Macaca fascicularis: one gene and its partner. The protein of the gene in region 1 binds, or shares a complex with, the protein of each later gene. Links are inferred from orthologs where the notes say so. Each region holds a gene or a part of one and is shown in the gene's direction. Other genes may lie near its edges.

Region 1 (3,520 bases):
CTGACACCATCACTTGCTGGAGGTCCTATAGGCCAGAGAAGAGGGGTTGCTTCAGGAACATAGGGACTGCAGAAGCATTTTGGAGGTGGGAACAAGTTTGGATTCAAGCATCATAAAGACACTACACAAGGGAAGTCTGCACAGAATCAAAATGATATGTAAAATTAAGGGAGTCAGATAAGTTCAGGGGAAGGCTACTGGAATGGAGGGTGAGAACCCAGGATTTATAAATTGGATTCCTAAATTGAAACAATTAGAAGAATCAAACAGAAGCACCTGCTCCAGCCCATCATCTTCAGGAAGCTGCCTGGCTTCACCGTTCCCGTGGATAGGGATCTCCATTGTGGCTGCCTTCCCTAGGATCCCGTCCGTCATGGCTAGGAAAGGTATTGGAGTAAAACTCTCCACCCCAGCACCCTGCAAAGCCCAACACAGAAGTTCTGGGCACTGGCCAGCACTCTAGAAGAAGGAAGCCTCCTCTGTCATTTCTTTAAAGGCTGTCCCAGGGTTTGAGTGTCCCAGCGTTTGGTCATCATTCCTTTCTTCAGGTATATGTATTTCTCCCCTCCAAAATGCACATTTGTACACAGGCACACCAAAGCACGGTGTCTTCTCACAAGCCCCCAACCTCACCAGGCCTCTGGTGATTATTCTACACTCATTCAGTCATTCAGCAGACATTTAGTGAGTGCCTACTCTGTGTCAGGTACTATTTGTGACAATGAAAATACAACAGTGAAGAGGGAAAGTAGCTCTCTTAGAACTTATCTCCATGCAGGCGTGTTTATGCTGAGCAGGAGATGGACCCTTTCCAGGGCTCAGGTCTTCACCCCCCATTCAGGTTTGTTCTCCATTGCTTGGCCTTTCTCACTCCTTTAGTGTTTCTTCCCCCTTCCTTCAGGGGGTCTCCCCTCCTCCGTCTCATACAACTCCTCTTCCTTGGGCCCTCCCCACCAGGCCTTAGTTAGATCAGTTGGTGTATGTTCCCAGTCTCTGGCAAAAGCCTGTCTTTACCAGGATATCGGTGATCCCTTCCACAGTCAGTCTCCCAGGTATGTGAGTCCCCGCCCCCACCCCCATACACCTGGACATCAGGTGTGTCCTCATTCTTCCCCAGGGCTCGGGGCATCTTGCCCTCTGGACAGGTTTGTGCGTTCAACTTCCCGTCGCCCAAGCATGTCCCTCTCACCTCGGGCCGGGCCGCTCTTCCCCTCAGGGCGCCAGGCCCGGGCCGCGCGGGGACCTCGGGCTCCAGTTCCCGTCGCGATCCTAGCAGCAGGTCAGGGACTCGGCGGAAGTGACGTCCTCTCCGGGCAGAAGAAGCCGGCCACGTCGCAGATTATAAGGGCGGAAGTGACGTCGAAGCCGGGGCAGGGCGATACTCTAGCTTGGTTCTCGAGAGCAGCGAGAGGTTACTTCCGGGGCGGCACCGAGAAGCTGAAAAGGAAGTGGCGTAGAGCATGCGCCGGTGGCGTGATGGAGCAGCAGCAGCAGCAACAGCAACTGAGAAACGTGAGTGAGAACTAAGTCGTTTCGGGGCCAGACGTTCAGCTCGCATTCCTGCACACATCGCGGAAACCCCATAGAGCCAGGGATCTGAGGGCTGGAAACTTCGGGTTATGGTGCGCGGGCCTGGGAAACTTTGGGCGGCGCGACCTTGAGTAGAAGTGTGGGGCACATATCGCTGAGTTCGTGGTCCCGGTTTTCTCCCAGCTGCGTGACTTCCTGTTGGTCTACAATCGGATGACAGAACTCTGCTTCCAGCGTTGTGTGCCCAGCTTGCACCACCGAGCTCTGGACGCTGAGGAGGTGGGGAACTGTGTAAGGAGGTTACGCTGCAAACAGAGTTTAGCGGTAGACTGCTTCCCTCCTCACCCCACTTCCCCTACCTCTGGTCCTGGCCTTCCCAGACCCTCACCCCTAGGCTGTGCATGGGGAAGGACGGAGGCGGGCCCGACAGGACACCTTTGTCCTCCGCTTAAACCCTATCTTCCTTCTAGGAGGCCTGTCTGCACAGCTGTGCTGGGAAGCTGATCCATTCCAACCACCGCCTCATGGCCGCTTACGTGCAGCTCATGCCTGCCCTGGTACAGCGCCGCATCGCAGACTACGAGGCTGTCTCGGCTGTGCCAGGCGTTGCTGCTGAGCAGCCTGGGGTCTCTCCATCAGGCAGCTAGCCATCTCCAACCCCAGGAGGGAAGGCCCTGGATGGACCCTCAGATTGAAGGACCCAGTGGACCTTAGGGTTGGTGAATCCTAAACGGAGAGAATTCGAGGTCGCCTGAAAACTGGCTGTCCTTGCTCCTTTTCCTGGAGCCAATATACTCGCTTTTTACTCTGTTTGATTTATATTCTGGGCAAGGAAGCTTTGCATAGTTTATTGGCATAATCCTTTGTTCTGTCATTTAGCCATATCTGCTGGCTTCAGCCCTGGCAGCTGATAAGTTGTCTTCTATATGTAGAAGGAAAACCTGAGTATTTGCAGGCATCTGGTTAAAGCAGGGTCTGTGTGTACAATTTTAAAATGAGTAATATGTCAGGCTTTATCTTAGTTTACAACAAAACTACAAGTAAGCGGTATTAGCCTCACTAAATAGATGAGGAAGCAAGATTCCAGAATGTACCAGAAGGCCATTTGATACAAAAGGAGATTGGTTCCTGCCCAGATGACAGAAAATGGGAGCTCTGTCTAGTTGTCCTTAAGTCTGACTGACTTCAATGGCTTATAACCGTGAACCAAGTATTTGTTGGTTCATAACTGTTGTTTTGTGAACTATGTCTTATATGTCTAGAATTCTGCTGGATCTAGGGAAAGGAGAAGCTGTCGAAGTACAACGGATCAAAAAACCACAGGGCTTTTGGGCACTGCCTCCTTGAGAAGTTAGTGGCCACAGAAGAGAGATGAAACCTGTAAGAAGTCTGGAGTCTTGGAACTTCAGCCATTTCCCCAGGTTGTTACTTTCTTAGTTTGTACAGTCTTCTCAGGATGAGAAGTAAAACCTTTGAACCAAGGTCTGTGTGCTTGTCTTACGGGCAATCGGGAAGGGAGAAAGTTGGGGACCGTATTCTGCAATACAGCGAAATCTGAGGAAGAAAAACTGAAGGGGGAAGTAGATGGCAATGGTTATGATAAAAAGGATAAAACGAAATCTTCGGGACTTCCTTAATGCTACCTTAATGTTTCACTGCTTGTCTAGAATCTCCTAATTCCAGCTTTCCATCATCTGCCCCACATTGGTCTCATTGAGTACAATCCGTGATTTCTTTTTTTTTTTTTTTTTTTTTTTTTTTTTGAGACGGAGTCTCACTCTGTCGCCCAGGCTGGAGTGCAGTGGCCGGATCTCAGCTCACTGCAAGCTCCGCCTCCCGGGTTCCCGCCATTCTCCTGCCTCAGCCTCCCGAGTAGCTGGGACTACAGGCACCCGCCACCTCGCCCAGCTAGTTTTTTGTATTTTTTAGTAGAGACGGGGGTTTCACCGTGTTAGCCAGGACGGTCTCGATCTCCTGACCTCGAGATCCG
Region 2 (4,303 bases), about 44 Mb from region 1:
ACTGCATAGTAGGCAAAAACTGGAAACAATCCAAACATCCATCAACAGGAGAATGGATAAATGAATTGTGGCATGCTCATACAATCAAACACTAGACAGCAATAAAACAGAAGGAATAACAGATGCACACAACAATATGGAGGAAACCTTACAGGTACATTGAGCTAAAGACGTCAGGCACAAAATAGAAAATAATGTGTAATTCCATTTACATGAAGTTCAAGAACAAGGAAAACGAATTGATGGTGATAGAGGTCAGAATAGTGGTTAACTTCAAGAGGGAGTATTGATGGGGAAGAAACACAAGATAACTTTTTGGGGTGCAGGAAGTATTTTATATCTTGATCTGGGTGGTGGTTATACAAATGTATATATACACATATATATTTAATTAAGCTTGAGATTCGTGTATTTTATGCACTTTATGAATATTATACCTCAATCTTTAAAAATCAGGGCACAAGGTTTGACAAAGATGAGTCTTCAAAGCAGAAAGGTCGATTGTTTAAAATCAGGATGGTCTTGGACAATTAGGGAAGCATATGATGACCACACATATAAAATGTCTAGCCCACCTTTTCCAATGAGCAATGTGCCCTTGCGTCATCAATTTACATCTTGTAAATTTATTTTACTAGGAAATTGTGTGACAAATCAAGGGACTGAGTGTTGTTTCCTTCTTTTTAGTGGGGAATGAGTGAATGGTGCAGTTTGAAGAACACATTAAGTCTTGAAAGTTGAAAAGTTCACCAGTACCCTCCTTCTCCCTCACCCATGATTAGCCTCGGTGGCAGCCGAAATTGCTTTTATTAATCTCTTTGTGGCTCAGGACCTCTGACTGTTGAAGAAAACATATTTTACACGTCTTGTCTTTCTACGAGCAGGAAGCCTATCTCGCTTATCGTTGCAACACCAGAAGGGGCTTAGTGTGACCTACACACAGTAGTAATCGCACAACGTCCCATGGAGCACTGCTTCTCAAATTTGGCTGTACATACGAATCACCTGGGGAATTTTAAATTGTATTGATGCCTGGGTCCTACTCCCAGAGATTCTGATTTAATTGAAATGAGGTGAGTCCTGGGCACTGGGACGTTTAAAAACGTTCCAGGGATTTTAACGCGAAACAAAAACAGAATCGCTGTTTGGGGGCGTTCTTCCTTCTCCACGCCTGATTTACGCTCAGGAGTCGGCTGTCCGGAACTGGGATGAGATTCACTGATATCTGTCACCACGCCTCTTCCTACAGAACCAATAAACTGAAGCGGCTCTGTGACATCCCAAGGGACTTGAATTGTAAGCGGGCTGCAGACGCTCTGCACCCCGCCCAAGCCTCTATGGTACTTTGGCGTCCCCTCTAGCACTGGCAAGTCGCCTTCCTCTTCGCCCGGCGCCGGCCGCTCCCTCTCTAGGATCGCCGAGTTCCCGGCGCCGTCTCGTTGGTATTTAGTTCCGGAAGCGAGTTTGAATCAAAGGAGAGGCGGGACTTCCCTCCCGGAAGTAACCCACGTGCTTCCGCTGGAGCCTTCTGGAGAGGCGGGTAACGTTATAGTTTTTGTCAGAAGTTGGGGTCTCCGTGAGCATTGCGATCCGTCCCAGGCAGTGGTGAGTGACCCATGACCTCTGAATTCAATGTGGCTCTGATTATGGCGTCGCCATTTCAGAGGCGCAGCCTTTAGGCTGCGTCCCGGTCGCCTGTGTTCAGCGTACGATCTCATTCCCAGGGCCCTGGAGGTTCAGGCTTATGGGTTAGAGCGTTCTGCCTCGGTCCTCGATCTTCTGAATAGAGGTGACCTCCAGGGACTGGGGCATCAGAGATCCGGGGCTCGATTTCCAGGCTCGCCATGGACGTCCTGTGCGACCTTGGGCGAGGCCTCAGTTTCCACATCCGTGAAATGGGGTGGTTAATCTTACTGAGGTTAGTGGCCCGTGGTGGTCTGGCGCCCTGTGAGTCCTCTGTATCCTCTAGCCCCAAGGGGTAGGAGAGTGAACGGCGGCGGTGGGTGCTGATGGTGATGTCTGCTCCCAGGATTAGGAGGCCAGAAGGAGATACCTTCCACGGTGCTAGGCTGAGATGGATCCTCTCAGGGCCCAACAGCTGGCTGCGGAGCTGGAGGTGGAGATGATGGCCGATATGTACAACAGGTAAAGAGAACTATGTTCTACCCTGTCTTGGAAAATAAGTCTTGGTCACCCATATCGAAGGTGAATGACTTACAACAAATTCCTTCCTGAATGTAGGGGAGCCTGAGGCCCATGCTTACCCTCCCCATACGCACCTCCAAGGTTGATCCTAATGTAGACGCAGTCACTAGAATGAGTTGGGCATTTAGATGGGGATGGAACTGGCAATGCAGGAGCCAAGCAGGAAGAGAAACTCCAATCCAGGCTCTGGTTAGGTTCCAAGAAAAGCTGAGTATTTGCCTCTTGATAAATAGCACATAGCCAGCCCATTTAGTAGTTAACATTTTAAAACCCTTTATTCTGTGTCAGGCTCTTGTTAATCTTCAAAATAATCCAGTGGGTTAATTTTATTAGTCCCATCTTAAAATGAGGAAATTGATGCTGCTAGAGGTTAAGTAACTTCCTTAGGGTCCGCAGCTGGTGGGTAACAATGCCAGAACTAGCACCTCAGTCTGGTTCTGCAACTAGTGCTCATAACCATTTGGCACATTTGGGAACAAATCCTGGCTCCACCAATCACCAGCAGTATACTTGGACATGTTACTTGCACTGTTTGACAATTGGTTTCCTCATTATGAAAAAGACATAATGATACCTACCTCATAGGGCATCATAAATATTAAATCTAAAAATATATGAAAGTCCTTAGCCTCAAGCCCAACACTTAGTAACAGTGAAATGTCTGCTATTTTTATTGGCTTAAGCTCTCTTGATTGGTTTATCCTGACGACTATAAATTAGAAAGATTGTTAAGTGTAGACTGTGAGGTCAGATGACCTGGGTTCATATCTCAGCTCTATGTGATTCTTAGAAAATTACTGAGCCTCGGCCGGGCGCGGTGGCTCAAGCCTGTAATCCCAGCACTTTGGGAGGCCGAGGCGGGTGGATCACGAGGTCAGGAGATCGAGACCATCCTGGCTAACACGGTGAAACCCCGTCTCTACTAAAAATACAAAAAGAAATTAGCTGGGCGTGGTGGCGGGCGCCTGTAGTCCCAGCTACTTGGGAGGCTGAGGCAGGAGAATGGCGTGAACCCGGGAGGCGGAGCTTGCAGTGAGCCGAGATCGCGCCACTGCACTCCAGTCTGGGCGACAGAGCGAGACTCCGTCTCAAAAAAAAAAAAAAAAAAAAAAATTACTGAGCCTCTGTTTGCCTTAATTTTCTCGTCTGTAAAATGGGGATAAGTATCTCTTGGGGTAATTGTAAGCATTGCGTAACAGAATGCAGGTAAAGCACTTAGCATGATGCCTGGCACATAGCCAGTCCTTAACAAATTGTTTCTACTTAATTAGTCATATACATGGGCTCAGGCAAGTTTCCTACTTGCAAGGACCTTCCAGTGGTTGAGGTGTAAACTGAGGATTTACACTGCTTTCTTGGGGAAGGTGACATCAATATAGCAGGGCTGGAATGGTCGAGGGTTCCTGGGATGTCACAGGATGCTGCTGACATGACCTTGCCCCTCCCTCCCTCCAGAATGACCAGTGCCTGCCACCGGAAGTGTGTACCTCCTCACTACAAGGAAGCAGAGCTCTCCAAGGGCGAGTCTGTGTGCCTGGACCGATGTGTCTCTAAGTACTTGGACATCCATGAGCGAATGGGCAAAAAGTTGACAGAGTTGTCTATGCAGGATGAAGAGCTGATGAAGAGGGTGCAGCAGAGCTCTGGGCCCGCGTGAGGTCCGTGTCAGCATACACCCTGGGGTACACCCCACCCCTTCCCACTTTAATAAAAGTGCTCCCTGTTGGGTGTCATCTGTGAGGACTGCCAGGCCTAAGCTCTCTGTAGCGAGTCTTCAAGATCCTGGAGTGGTAGCGCTGTCCCCTGGTGAAGGAGTATTTGTCACACTGGAATGTGACTGTGTGTATGTATGTATGTATGTATATATATATTAAAACAAGTTTGTTGACACCTACTATGTGCAAAGCAGTGTGCGTGGCATTTGAGAGTAAACAGACACAGCCCCTACCAGCAGAGGGAGACTAATGTAGTGTTTAAGAGTAGGACAGGCCAGGCACAGTGGCTCACGCCTGTAATCCCAGCACTTTGGGAGGCTGAAGTGGGTGGATCACTTGAGGTCAGGAGTTCAAGACCACCTGGCCAACATGGCAAAACCCCG

What was found.
Region 2: the proteins of TIMM10B (region 1) and TIMM10 are in contact, whole or in part, in a cryo-EM structure (PDB 7CGP), measured with the Homo sapiens proteins. The link is inferred for Macaca fascicularis from reciprocal best matches to the Homo sapiens genes TIMM10B and TIMM10. Residues at the interface, in NP_036324.1 of Homo sapiens: Gln7, Leu11, Leu14, Arg15, Phe17, Leu18, Leu19, Tyr21, Asn22, Arg23, Met24, Thr25, Glu26, Cys28, Phe29, Val33, Pro34, Ser35, Leu36, His37, His38, Arg39, Leu41, Glu46, Leu49, His50, Ala53, Gly54, Ile57, His61; in NP_036588.1 of Homo sapiens: Ala6, Leu9, Leu13, Glu16, Met17, Asp20, Met21, Arg24, Ala28, Lys32, Cys50, Asp52, Arg53, Cys54, Ser56, Lys57, Tyr58, Asp60, Ile61, His62, Glu63, Arg64, Met65, Gly66, Lys68, Leu69, Leu72, Asp76.

What each region holds. Positions count from the first base shown.
Region 1 is NC_088388.1:59,598,634-59,602,153, reverse strand, and holds TIMM10B (mitochondrial import inner membrane translocase subunit Tim10 B), read left to right. Parts: upstream 1-1,455; 5' UTR 1,456-1,476; coding exon 1,477-1,512; exon of another isoform or gene 1,513-1,619; coding exon of another isoform or gene 1,620-1,622; intron 1,623-1,713; coding exon 1,714-1,809; coding exon of another isoform or gene 1,810-1,821; intron 1,822-2,000; coding exon 2,001-2,177; 3' UTR 2,178-3,011; downstream 3,012-3,520. Other genes in the region: ARFIP2 (arfaptin-2), read right to left, coding at 1-25, 277-375. UniProt on the Homo sapiens protein: Component of the TIM22 complex, a complex that mediates the import and insertion of multi-pass transmembrane proteins into the mitochondrial inner membrane.
Region 2 is NC_088388.1:16,082,103-16,086,405, forward strand, and holds TIMM10 (mitochondrial import inner membrane translocase subunit Tim10), read left to right. Parts: upstream 1-1,496; 5' UTR 1,497-1,605; intron 1,606-1,969; 5' UTR 1,970-2,074; coding exon 2,075-2,145; intron 2,146-3,660; coding exon 3,661-3,862; 3' UTR 3,863-4,099; downstream 4,100-4,303.